Saccharomyces cerevisiae S288C: one gene and its partners. The protein of the gene in region 3 purifies or fractionates together with the protein of the main gene of each other region. This does not show direct contact. Each region holds a gene or a part of one and is shown on either strand. Other genes may lie near its edges.

What was found.
Region 1: the proteins of MMF1 (region 3) and FBA1 purify together in Saccharomyces cerevisiae (affinity purification with mass spectrometry; 2 studies listed by BioGRID, with this or other methods). This does not show direct contact.
Region 2: the proteins of MMF1 (region 3) and GPM1 purify together in Saccharomyces cerevisiae (affinity purification with mass spectrometry; 2 studies listed by BioGRID, with this or other methods). This does not show direct contact.

Annotation. Positions count from the first base shown.
Region 1 is NC_001143.9:324,732-329,243, forward strand, and holds FBA1 (fructose-bisphosphate aldolase FBA1), read right to left. Parts: upstream 2,757-4,512; coding exon 1,677-2,756; downstream 1-1,676. Other genes in the region: stress-responsive transcriptional activator MSN4, read left to right, coding at 1-389; BLI1 (Bli1p), read left to right, coding at 1,040-1,381; cleavage polyadenylation factor subunit MPE1, read right to left, coding at 3,387-4,512. UniProt on the Saccharomyces cerevisiae protein: Catalyzes the aldol condensation of dihydroxyacetone phosphate (DHAP or glycerone-phosphate) with glyceraldehyde 3-phosphate (G3P) to form fructose 1,6-bisphosphate (FBP) in gluconeogenesis and the reverse reaction in glycolysis.
Region 2 is NC_001143.9:161,966-166,113, forward strand, and holds GPM1 (phosphoglycerate mutase GPM1), read right to left. Parts: upstream 2,421-4,148; coding exon 1,677-2,420; downstream 1-1,676. Other genes in the region: SRP102 (Signal recognition particle receptor subunit beta), read left to right, coding at 1-370; NNR2 (NADHX dehydratase), read right to left, coding at 2,952-3,965. UniProt on the Saccharomyces cerevisiae protein: Interconversion of 3- and 2-phosphoglycerate with 2,3-bisphosphoglycerate as the primer of the reaction. Can also catalyze the reaction of EC 5.4.2.4 (synthase), but with a reduced activity.
Region 3 is NC_001141.2:255,885-261,150, reverse strand, and holds MMF1 (isoleucine biosynthesis protein MMF1), read left to right. Parts: upstream 1-2,870; coding exon 2,871-3,308; downstream 3,309-5,266. Other genes in the region: DFG10 (putative polyprenol reductase), read right to left, coding at 232-993; PCL7 (Pcl7p), read right to left, coding at 1,381-2,238; 60S ribosomal protein eL34 RPL34B, read left to right, coding at 4,088-4,124, 4,597-4,925. UniProt on the Saccharomyces cerevisiae protein: Plays a role in the maintenance of mitochondrial DNA.

The DNA.
Region 1 (4,512 bases), on a different chromosome or scaffold from region 3:
CTAGTCAAGCTCACCATGCAGCTCAACATCATCAACAACAACCTACTAAACAGGCAACGGTAAGCCCAAACACAAGAAGAAGAAAGTCGTCAAGTGTTACTTTAAGTCCAACTATTTCTCATAACAACAACAATGGTAAGGTTCCTGTCCAACCTCGGAAAAGGAAATCTATTACTACCATTGACCCCAACAACTACGATAAAAATAAACCTTTCAAGTGTAAAGACTGTGAGAAGGCATTCAGACGCAGTGAGCACTTGAAAAGGCATATAAGATCCGTTCATTCAACGGAACGCCCTTTTGCTTGTATGTTCTGTGAGAAAAAATTCAGTAGAAGTGACAATTTATCACAACATCTAAAAACTCACAAAAAGCACGGTGATTTTTGAAAAAAATAAGGTCAAAAGCAAATAAAAGCAAGACAAGCTACGGTATGACAAGTTTTCGGAGAAATAATATTCTTTCTTCCTCAGTTTACAAAACAAGTAGGTTGGTCATTTCATTCGGATATATTCTAAGGAATGAAATGAACATTGGTGTTTGTTTCTAATATAATCTTAAGATATTTTAAATTGTTTCTTTCCTTTTTTGCCTTTCTAACTATTACTTCAACTTCTTTTCCGTATATTTCCGTTTTTTCCATTTGGCAGATTAAAAAAATTGTGCACGTTCTGGTTTTAACGTATAGACTTCTAATATATTTCTCCATACTTGGTATTTTTTATTCACTTTTTTTATACATATTTGGTTTTTTTATACAATATCAAAAATCAATAATAATTAATTTAATAACAAGAATATGTTGCTGTGATGACTCTTAATATACAATTGGGAAGCATTCAAGGATTGGTACGACGTTTGCTTTCTGATAATTAAACGCTTGGCGTTTAATCTTTTTTGCCGATTAATAATATTATTATTACCCTCTTATTTATTAGCATTGTCTTCCGTACTAAAAGGAGTAGGGAAAAAGGCGAAGTAGAGTGACACGTCCATTACCCAGCGCTTCATAAGAATCCATCAGGTATATTAAATTGTGATGGGAGAACAAAACAAATTGTACTATGATGTCGAGAAATTGGTGAATTCTTTGCAGGAAAGTTTTGACCTGGATTGCGCGCAAAGTGTATCACTTTTCACCAGTAAATCAAGGAGCAATGAGGCTTGGTTGGAAGAGCTAGAGAATAAATTCAAGTTAAAAGATGATGTTGAACTTGATGATGTGGAAAATTTAAGAGCCGAAATTGACATGAAGTTAAATATGTTGGAGGATAAAGTAAGCTACTATGAAAGACTTTACAAAGAACTCGAAGAGTTCCAGAATGAAATAAAAATTAAAACAGTTGTGAATAACAGAAGACAATCGCGAACTCCAAAATGAGCTATCAAAAACGATAGATCGATTAGGATGACTTTGAAATGACTCCGCAGTGGACTGGCCGTTAATTTCAAGCGTGAGTAAAATAGTGCATGACAAAAGATGAGCTAGGCTTTTGTAAAAATATCTTACGTTGTAAAATTTTAGAAATCATTATTTCCTTCATATCATTTTGTCATTGACCTTCAGAAGAAAAGAGCCGACCAATAATATAAATAAATAAATAAAAATAATATTCCATTATTTCTAAACAGATTCAATACTCATTAAAAAACTATATCAATTAATTTGAATTAACTTATAAAGTGTTAGTGGTACGGAAAGTTTCCAAAGACTTGGTGATCTTAGCACCCATGGTCTTTTCACCTTCTCTAACCCAGACTCTTGGGTCGAAGAACTTCTTGTTTGGCTTTTCTGGACCTTCTGGGTTACCGACTGGGGACATTATGTAGTCCTTCTTGTTCAAGACGTAGTCTCTGATACCAGTCAAGTAAGCGTATTGACAGTCAGTGTCCAAGTTGACCTTGACAACACCGTTGTCAATACCAGTGTGGAATTCTTGGACAGTAGAACCGGAACCACCGTGGAAGACCAAGAACAATGGCTTTTCTTCCTTGCAACCAACTTGTTCTCTGGTGTACTTTTGGTGTTCAGCCAAGATTTCTGGTCTCAAAGCGATGTCACCAGCGTACAAACCGTGACAGTTACCGAAAGCAGCAGCAATGGAGAAGTTTGGAGAGATTGGGTGCAAAGCCTTGTAGACGTTGTAAACTTGTTCTGGCTTGGTGTACAAGTCTTCCTTGTCAGCGTTTTCGTTGTTAACACCATCTTCTTCACCACCGGTAATACCGATTTCCATTTCTAACCATTGGTCCATAGCGGCCATTCTCTTGAAGTACTTGACACAAGTAGAGATGTTTTCTTCATCGGTTTCTTCAGACAAATCCAACATGTGGGAGGAGAATAATGGTTCACCGTGTTCCTTGAAGTAAGCTTCATCAGCTTCCAACATACCATCGAACCATGGCAACAACTTCTTGGCACAGTGGTCAGAGTGTAAGACAACTGGGATACCGTAAGCTGGAGCAATGGATCTGATGTAGTGGGCAGCGGCAATAGCACCCTTGATGGAAGCATTTTGACCTTCGTTAGAGATACCCTTACCAGCGAAGTAAGCAGCACCACCGTTAGAGGTTTGCAAAATGATTGGGGACTTGCTGTCTCTAGCAGCTTCTAAAGCAGCGACGGCAGTAGAAGAAGAGGTGACGTTAATAGCTGGAATAGCGAACTTGTGTTCCTTAGCGTAAGTGAATAAGTTGTGGACATCTTCACCAACGATGACACCGGTCTTTCTCTTTAAGATTTGTTCAACACCCATTTTGAATATGTATTACTTGGTTATGGTTATATATGACAAAAGAAAAAGAAGAACAGAAGAATAACGCAAGGAAGAACAATAACTGAAATTGATAGAGAAGTATTATGTCTTTGTCTTTTTATAATAAATCAAGTGCAGAAATCCGTTAGACAACATGAGGGATAAAATTTAACGTGGGCGAAGAAGAAGGAAAAAAGTTTTTGTGAGGGCGTAATTGAAGCGATCTGTTGATTGTAGATTTTTTTTTTTTGAGGAGTCAAAGTCAGAAGAGAACAGACAAATGGTATTAACCATCCAATACTTTTTTGGAGCAACGCTAAGCTCATGCTTTTCCATTGGTTACGTGCTCAGTTGTTAGATATGGAAAGAGAGGATGCTCACGGCAGCGTGACTCCAATTGAGCCCGAAAGAGAGGATGCCACGTTTTCCCGACGGCTGCTAGAATGGAAAAAGGAAAAATAGAAGAATCCCATTCCTATCATTATTTACGTAATGACCCACACATTTTTGAGATTTTCAACTATTACGTATTACGATAATCCTGCTGTCATTATCATTATTATCTATATCGACGTATGCAACGTATGTGAAGCCAAGTAGGCAATTATTTAGTACTGTCAGTATTGTTATTCATTTCTTAGGGCTTGCGTCAGCTTGATGAGGATTTGTGATAGTAGCCGTTGGAGGCATGAAGGGCATTGGAAACATGGGGAAAGGAGGTATACCGAAAGGTAACGGTACTGGTGGCACTGGCGTACCGCCGTTATTTACAGAAGTTGGAAGGCTGGTATTGTTGTTCAAGCCAGCGGTGCCAGTTGGATCCATCAACTTCATTTTCTTAGTTTCTGGCTGGTTGCCATCTTTAGAGCTTCCGTGTAGTTCCTCTTGTTTCTTCAAAAACGTTTCGACCTCCTTTTCCTTGTCCTGGTCGGGTACTAAAGAATCGAGAAGGATATCGCGGGTTTCGCAATTGGGGCATACAAAGTCGCTCTCTACCAGTGCATTTTCCAGCGCCTCTTTTGAGAAATCTATGTTACAGCACTTGCTTGTCTTTACCGGCTGCCTCAAAAGACCACCTGTCAAGGGACATTTTAAATCGTCAGGAAGATCTTTGAAATGGCCTTTTCTCCAAATGGTTTCATCACCATCAATTTGACGGTTCTCTCTTTTCCTTTGGTAGTCTTCCCATGATTGTTTGTCTTCAACTTGTACCACGAACTTGCCTTCGTCCGTAATCATAATCTTTCGCTGAGCCATCTCTTCCGGTGTCATTGTCTCGGGATCTATTTCAATGGATTTTAAAAACTTCTTTGGAATACCTGTGGTTCTTCTGATTCTTTTTCCTTCAAAATTTGGATCGCTGTTAGTTGGACAATTTTTAATCCAGTGGTCTCTACCCCCACAACGATAGCACATATAACCTGGTGGCGGTGGGCCTTCGTTTTCTTGTGCAGAATTCTTATTCGTCTGTGACTTGAAAAAAACAGGTGTGGCTGCAGACATTTCTTCTTGCGTTTGTTCCCATTGATTTTCTTGTGTGGCAAACATACTAGCAATTCTTTCTTCTTCCGTTGTACCACTAACATTAGCAGTGGTTGTAGCAGTGTGTTGTCTCTTTTGCAACACTCTTGGCCTACCAGTAACATACCTTGTTGCGTTCCCAAGAGCTGCTGCTCCCACATTCCCTTTAAGTCGACTGTGTACGGAGAATGATTTAATTGCTGGAGATCTTTTTACTATGACACTAGTAGATCTA
Region 2 (4,148 bases), on a different chromosome or scaffold from region 3:
TAAGAAATTAACAACAACAGCTGAGTTCTTGGTAGACATATTATCAATTACTGAATCTAGTTGCGAAAATGGTATTGATATCTTAATTGCATGCAATAAAAGCGAATTGTTCACTGCAAGACCACCATCAAAGATCAAGGATGCTTTAGAAAGCGAAATTCAAAAGGTTATTGAAAGAAGGAAAAAATCGTTGAACGAGGTTGAAAGAAAAATTAACGAAGAAGATTATGCAGAGAATACACTAGACGTTTTACAGTCTACCGACGGGTTCAAATTTGCAAATTTGGAAGCATCTGTAGTTGCTTTTGAGGGCAGTATTAATAAAAGAAAAATTTCCCAATGGCGCGAATGGATAGATGAAAAACTGTAATATAATTATAATTTATAACTAGATGAACGATAGATAGTTTAAAAACAAGCATTTAACATAGCTCTAGATTCCGTACGCAGAGAAAGACATAGTTGCATCATCGACACATGCAATATCAAAAGTAACTCTTTTTGACTGCTGGTGTAAAAAACACTCACGATGGGGGTCGAACCCATAATCTTCTGATTAGAAGTCAGACGCGTTGCCATTACGCCACGCGAGCTAATATTTGTTTGATGTTCCAGCAGTTATATGATCTAATTATGCGGGAAAATAATTGAAGATAAGTAGTTTGATGTATTTTTATTATAGTATTATATTTTCTGATTTGGTTATAGCAAGCAGCGTTTTTTTTCTTCTTTACCATAATCATTGTACCAGGAAATTTTGTTCATAATTATTGTGTTGATTGTCAATGGTCAAAGGTACAACTAATGAAGATTAAATATGGTGAATAGGAGGCCTGCTAGCCACCGTACATTTAATATGTCCGCGTGTTGGAATAAAAATCAACTATCGTCATCAACTAGTGGTTATACTACCAGTATATTATCTTATATGGTGTCAAATGTGGACATGATGACATAAGGTATGAGAAACTGTCATCGAAGTTAGAGAAAGCTGAAATACAAGGATCAATAATGTAATAGGATAATGAAACATATGAAATGGAATGAGGAACAATCGTGATATTATTATGTAGAAATATCGATTCCTTTTTGGGGATGCCTATATCCTCGAGGAGACACTTCCAGTATATTCTGTATACATAATATAACAGCCTTTATCAACATTGGAATCCCAACAATTATCTCAAAATTCACCAACCTCTCATGGCGCATATTCATCATGCATGTAACTACCACATCAATGTTCAATCATGGACTTTTAACTAATCTTAAGTACTATTCGAACTGCCCATTCAGCTTTTCCCTTTGCAATTGGTGCACTCCTACTTGAACGAATTCGCGGGGTGTACATTAAACTACGATGTAAACATCAAGGTTATTGCTATAACATGTCATGTCACCATTAATTACCACTCATTCCAACATACTGTCCCTGACGAAAACTGTTTATGCGAGCGCAAAATGAACCTATTCAATTAATAATACTCCTCAAATTGCTACCACGACAGGCTGAAAAAAGATGTCGACGAATAATGTAATCGTGTCAAACAAACGTTATCTTGACTATATATAGCTACTTAATTTGAAATAATAAACTATACAAGTCTATATCATTGATATATTCAGTAAGAAAAATGGAGGGAAAAAGAAATCATCAAATCATTCATTCTTCAGACTTATTTCTTACCTTGGTTGGCAACAGCAGCGGCACCAGCAGCGGCAGCTTCTGGGTCCAAGTAGTAAGATGGCTTAGATGGCTTCAAGTTTTCGTCCAATTCGAAGACCAATGGAATACCAGTTGGGATGTTCAACTTAGCAATGTCAGCATCAGAGATACCTTCCAAGTGCTTAACCAAACCTCTCAAGGAGTTACCGTGAGCGGCGATCATGACGGTCTTACCACTCAACAAGTCCTTGGCAATGACATCTTGCCAGTATGGCAACAATCTGTCAATGACCAAAGCCAAAGATTCAGTTTCTGGCAAGACATTTGGGTCAACGTACTTGTATCTTTCATCACCCTTTTGAGAGAATGGAGAAGAAGCGTCGATTGGGGGAGGTGGAACATCGAAGGATCTTCTGTAGGTGTTGAATTTTTCTTCACCGAACTTCTTCAAAGTTTCAGCCTTGTCCTTACCTTGTAAGTCACCGTAATGTCTTTCGTTCAATCTCCAGGATCTGTTGACTGGAATCCATAATCTGTCAGCCTTTTCCAAAGCAATGTTAGCAGTTTGGATAGCTCTGGACAACTTGGAAGTGTACAAGACGTCTGGGTAGACCTTCTTTTCCTTCAACAATTCACCGGCTCTAGCGGCTTCTTGTTGACCCTTGGCAGACAATTTAACATCAACCCAACCGGTGAATAAGTTCTTTTCGTTCCATTCGGATTGACCGTGTCTAACTAAAACTAACTTTGGCATTATTGTAATATGTGTGTTTGTTTGGATTATTAAGAAGAATAATTACAAAAAAAATTACAAAGGAAGGTAATTACAACAGAATTAAGAAAGGACAAGAAGGAGGAAGAGAATCAGTTCATTATTTCTTCTTTGTTATATAACAAACCCAAGTAGCGATTTGGCCATACATTAAAAGTTGAGAACCACCCTCCCTGGCAACAGCCACAACTCGTTACCATTGTTCATCACGATCATGAAACTCGCTGTCAGCTGAAATTTCACCTCAGTGGATCTCTCTTTTTATTCTTCATCGTTCCACTAACCTTTTTCCATCAGCTGGCAGGGAACGGAAAGTGGAATCCCATTTAGCGAGCTTCCTCTTTTCTTCAAGAAAAGACGAAGCTTGTGTGTGGGTGCGCGCGCTAGTATCTTTCCACATTAAGAAATATACCATAAAGGTTACTTAGACATCACTATGGCTATATATATATATATATATATATATATATATATATGTAACTTAGCACCATCGCGCGTGCATCACTGCATGTGTTAACCGAAAAGTTTGGCGAACACTTCACCGACACGGTCATTTAGATCTGTCGTCTGCATTGCACGTCCCTTAGCCTTAAATCCTAGGCGGGAGCATTCTCGTGTAATTGTGCAGCCTGCGTAGCAACTCAACATAGCGTAGTCTACCCAGTTTTTCAAGGGTTTATCGTTAGAAGATTCTCCCTTTTCTTCCTGCTCACAAATCTTAAAGTCATACATTGCACGACTAAATGCAAGCATGCATGATATAGCTCCTGTCAAAGTATCACCTTGGCCTCCTACCCTCTTGTTGCTGCCCTCTTCGCTGTTCGTCAACATGTCTTTTTCACTATCGGGTGAGAATATCTTATCTGACTGACCTTTCTCCACCACAATACAATTCAATTCCTGGGCGATCAAGCTGCCCATCTCGGAGTGAGAGTCTCCCTTCTTGCCTATGGCATCACATAGTCTTTTGAATTCTACCACATTGGGCGTCAAGATCACTCTACCTTTGGGGTAGCTTTTCAGCATTTCTTTGACTTCGCTATCTTGAGTTACTAAGAACAGTCCATCAGCATCAATTACTAACGGGATCTTGCCCTCATGTTTTTCAAGTATATATCTTATGATATCCTTAATGGATTTTAACATTAGGGGGTCCCTACCCAAGCCGGGTCCAATTACCACAACGTGGATTCTATCCAATAAGGAATTGATTTTCTTCCTTTGTTCGTCCATATCAACGTCTAATTTGGTGTTACTCATACGAAGGTATGGATGAACCATTAGGTTTGGGGTGTACGATTTAATGACCGTACCAGCGTTGTATTCGCAGATGACATGTGTCAAATCACAGCCCATCAAGGCTGTAGCATTGGCGCTGAAATACGGTGCCCCTGTATAATCTTCGCATCCTCCAATAATGCAAACTCTCCCACCAGACTGTCCCTTATGAAACTTTGGCAATAAAGGTGGTATACATCTTTTCTGCGCCAACTTTATCAATTCTCTATGAGACAATTCTGCTAACATTTCCAGTGATACGGTAGTGATCGTATTGAACTGGTGTTGCTAATAAAATTTCACCGACGCCTATATACCTATTTACACCTTTACATATATATCTACTAGATCACGTTGCAAGACCCATCACATCGCATCACATCACATCACTCCCTATTCTGCCCTTTACAGCGCAAAGGAGTCGTGTGTGGG
Region 3 (5,266 bases):
CGAAATTCCCAAGATGTCTAACCTTTTGTTTGGCAGTGATAGGTCTTAGCCACTGTGCCAGTATTTACTCTTTCCAACTGCCTCAAAAAGGTATGGCCTTACCTTCGTTTTTAATGACACGTATACGAGCCTTTGCTGTCTAATTAGTGGTAAAGTGATAATAGTGAAAGTAAAGTGGTTCTTTACCGCGTCTATATATATATGTATATGAATGCCCTAGTGTGCACATTACTAGATTATAAAAGGTATTATGGCGTAGGGGGCTACGTGATTGTCTTTAAATTTGTGCCTGTAATAATTTTTTGTTTCCAATGCGGATATAGTCAAACTTGTGATTACCCAAACTAGTGTTAGGTAAAATTCTTGTTCATAGGGCAACAGAGTAGAATAAATGATTATTTCATCGAGATAATGAGGACAGCATACCAACCTGAAAAGCCTTCCTGTTGGCAGCGAATATTTAACCAGATTGGCCAGAATAACATGATTTTTGTACTGATCCCAAGATGCTATGCAGAATATGATGAAAGCATTCATGTTTAACGTATTTGGAATGGAGTTCTTGTACAGTGATATATTAAGAATTAACAAGAGTACGGAATAGAACCATATACCGACTAGATAATGGGACCAATTCATCCTAGAATTGCTTGTATAATGTAGTACATAAAGCGTTTCATAAAGTCGGCGCAATGAGTGTCCAAATATGATCCAAACGATGGGGAATTTAGGATAGAAATATAAGGTGACTAAGGATAGAAAGGTAGCCAAATAGTAAAAATGGGAAAAATACGCCTTTGGAACTGTGAACTTCTTGATTCGTTCTAAAATGCTTGAGTACTTTGAATTCTCTTTGGGCCGGTAGGTTTTACCATATTGAAGAAATTCTGGTAGACAACTTTTTGCTATGAAAAGTGAGCAAATGCCTACAAAAAAGGATAATCTATAGGCATATATAGTATATTTTAGCAATTGTTCTTCATCAAAGTACATTGGACTGGTAGATTCTACGTTTTAAGCCAGATCGGTCCGCCGATAAACCTATTTATATTCCACATTTGGTATATTTTTACTTTTTCGAAACGTCCTTAATTCTCATTTTGGAAAAAAAAGAGAAAGCATAATACTGAATAGAACAAGGACCGAATTTCTCTTTACCGGTAGATTATGATTTATTTGGGCAAAAAGTTTTTTTTTTCATTCTATTGCAATAGCTATCATTTCAGGAGAAATGCTACTAATATGAAAAACCACTGATTTAAAAGGAATATTAAATTATTTAAATATAACCGATATGTACGCGTTACGTAAATCAGAAATTGATATGTATAATACGAGTAACGGTAAGGGAAGGGCATGAATAATATGCAGGACAGCATTCTACTGGTCGTTCCAGAATTTATATAACAAGTTTGCATATTTCTGCATTTCTTCGACTGAAACCAATAACTTGAAATCACATAGTATCAGGAATTGTAATTCTAAATGGTTTAACTCTTGCAAAGAAATACCTCCAACCTTGGCGTATCGAGAGTTACTGTAAAAAAAATCACTCAAGAACTTCGTGCAAATTGTGACACCTGTTATGAGCAATCTATGAATGTTCCCGGAGTCCATGACGAATAATTGCTTTGCGCAACCATTACGCTCAGAAGAATGCCCATAATTTTTGGAGATTCTATCGAAATATACAAGGAGAGAAAGAAAAATATCATTTGTGGTGGGACAGTACTTTTGAATTCTCTCTAAGTACTGAACAACAGCTATCTCTGGAACATTCTTTCCATAGAAAGCAAGGATTGGAGTTAAGAGTTCGTCTTCGGTCTCATCCGACACTTGTTGTGAGACATCTGTAGTTTCATCGTTTGCTGTTATAATTCTGTTGAGTAGCGCACTTATCATTAGTATGAGTTCATCTGTGGGAAAGTCTGCTATGTTTAAGATCTTTACATCAGTCTGTTCATTTGTCTCCTCGTCCAGGCTATGCGTTTTTGCTTCCGACTCTAAAGACTTCTTTACAGCTTGTACAGGAGAACAATCTAGTAAAGATTTCGAAGAGAAAGGGCTTTCCAAACTGGGGTTAGTAGATATTTTGGACAGCAAACTACTATTGTTACTTGAAAATGGATCGGTCTTGAAGCTGTGAGAATGTGGTCCGATTATTAGGTTATCTCTATTCCCCCCTGGTATATTTATTGGCGATGTTGTGGTTTTTTTTGATGGTGAACTTAGCTCCATATTTTTCTCTAGTGTAAGCAGTCGTTCGTTCTAGCTCGGTTTGCTTTAGTCTGATTACAGTAATTAATGTCTGTTAACTTTTGTTGTACTATTTTAAGAACCGTAGATGAATATATAGATATACTTTTTGTATATATAAAGGTTTGAGATGTTGAAGCCTGCGCTGCTATCCCCTGCTTTGTTTACACCGTTTTGGACCCATCGCAAGATACCGAGATTCCGAAACCGGCCTCAAAACTCCCAGAGATTAGGCGCGATAGATAGTAATACCTTAAGCCATAGTATGCCTATGGATGCAAAATGCAATGATCACTGTCCATGTTATACAATTAAAAGAGCCCGTAGAAAAGTGCACAGGCGGTGATCTTAGAAGACCAGTGCTGCTTATTGGATAAGTCTCTATCATTGAAGGACGTTATTCACTTTGCTCCTGTGTACGCTCTCATTTGCGGAGATGCGATTCCGCCTCTGTCGCTCATCCAGCGAAAAACACACCGTATGGATCCCCTGATATATATAAATACATATGACTAAATGGGTCTTACACATGCATAAGAATTAGGTTAGCTAGTAAATTGTGTGAGATTTACAGGTAAAAAGGACAACACATACACACAAATATATTACCAATAATGTTTTTAAGAAATTCCGTTTTGAGAACAGCTCCAGTCTTGAGGAGGGGTATAACAACATTGACCCCGGTCAGCACCAAGTTGGCCCCACCCGCTGCCGCCTCTTACTCCCAAGCTATGAAGGCCAACAATTTTGTGTACGTGTCTGGTCAAATCCCTTATACTCCAGATAACAAGCCTGTTCAAGGTTCTATCTCTGAGAAGGCCGAACAAGTTTTTCAAAACGTTAAGAATATCTTAGCAGAAAGTAATTCTTCTTTAGACAATATAGTCAAAGTCAACGTATTCTTGGCTGACATGAAAAACTTTGCCGAATTCAACTCTGTATACGCCAAACACTTCCACACCCATAAGCCTGCAAGATCCTGTGTTGGTGTTGCTTCCTTACCTTTGAATGTTGATTTAGAAATGGAAGTTATCGCTGTTGAAAAGAATTGAAGGATTGAAACTTCTTTACTGCCTTTTTTCCACTTGCGATACCGAGGAGTGTACATTTATAAACATTTTAGTAGCATTCTTTAGCGTATATAAGATTTTAACTAAGAAAAGAAACGAATTTACGGAGTTTCAGAATCAGTTTCTTGCCGTTGTAGAAAATGTGAGGGGAGTTTCCCTCTACTTGTATCAATGTTACAAGACAGGGGTAGAAACCTATTACGTGTTGGAACTTATTTTCTTGAACACTCTAATCATAAATTCTAAAAAACTGTGACTGTGTTTTCGTCACAACTTTGCGGTGTACAGATGTCGTCACATACCGTGTGTTGTTTGGGTGTTTTCCTTTCAGCTTTTTTTTTTTTGAATTTTTGAATTTTTACTTTCATTTGCTTTCGGAGGTCCCGCTTCCGACAATAGTCCGCTTCATTTGTCCCTTCCCATGAAAGTTCATTCCTTTGGGCAGAGAGACCGTCCTTCTGGGAGGAGATGGAATTGACGCCTGGGGGAGGAGCCAGTAACAATTCTAACTCTTCCTCTTCCTGTCAGTGGCCCCAGCACCCGTTCAGACGGTATGGTAACGGGCTCTCAGGAGCCGTTTCATCGCAGCTGGTGGGTAAGTTTGGAATGTTTCAATAGCATTCTACGTAAAAGTTGATGAACTTATTAGTTGTAAGTAGTAAATAACGGGTAGTACATAGTATTTGGCACTTGTTATATTCTTTTGATTCAATTTACTTTGATTGAAACTGAGAATAGATTAGCAACGAACAACCCTAAAAATGGCTCAACGTGTTACTTTCAGAAGAAGAAATCCATGTATGTTACTGAACTATTTTTTTGAGTTTTCATGAAAACTTATTATGAACTTATTATGAACTTATTTTGAACTTTCATTGTGGGAAAATGAGGTTAAAAGGCGAACGAGTGCTATTTAGAGAAGCGTACCACTTAGAAATAGGAAGAACCAGATCATCGATAGGGGAATCAACTATGCAAGAACTTTCAAATATATTGGCATGACATTAAAACATTAGACAGCATGAACGAACAGTATCCAGTAATGTGGACAGCAATAAGTTGACTTCAGTTTCTAAGTGGAAGACCTTGGTCGACCCAAATGGAAAATGAATTTTTCTCCGCTGTTGAAAGATTGAAATGAGATAATATTCATTCAGCAACGCCGAAATACTTTTCATATGGAGCAATCCCACTCAAGTTCTTAAATCATAGGATAATAAAGAAGTGATTACTAACATTAATGGGAAAATTTTCTCTTTACTACGTACAGACAACACCCGTTCTAACAAAATCAAGGTTGTTAAGACCCCAGGTGGTATCTTGCGTGCCCAACACGTTAAGAAGTTGGCTACTAGACCAAAGTGTGGTGACTGTGGTAGTGCTCTACAAGGTATTTCCACTTTGAGACCAAGACAATACGCTACTGTCTCCAAGACCCACAAGACTGTTTCCAGAGCTTACGGTGGTTCCAGATGTGCCAACTGTGTCAAGGAAAGAATCGTCAGAGCTTTCTTGATTGAAGAACAAAAGATTGTTAAGAAGGTCGTTAAGGAACAAACTGAGGCTGCTAAGAAGTCTGAAAAGAAGTCTAAGAAATAAATTTAAATAAGCATTCCTTTTATAATTACTCTAACTTCTCGTCGTACTAAAAAAAAACACTTTTATAGTAAGATATAAAACAAAAACGAAGATTGAATCTTCCTTTTTTATTTCTGTGTTAAATTCTCTAAACCAGCTTGATTTGCGCGAACCACCTGTCACGGCAGATCATCCGAAGACGACAAAGAAAAGGATGCATTACATCGGTTTAAATTTTTCTATTCGTATTTTATAAGTATTATATTATATTATTAAGTCATGCAGATATAAAATTATACAATTGGTCGGAAATGGAGGGAAATCATACATTTTTATTTTATTTTTAGCGTAGTAGTTTTATC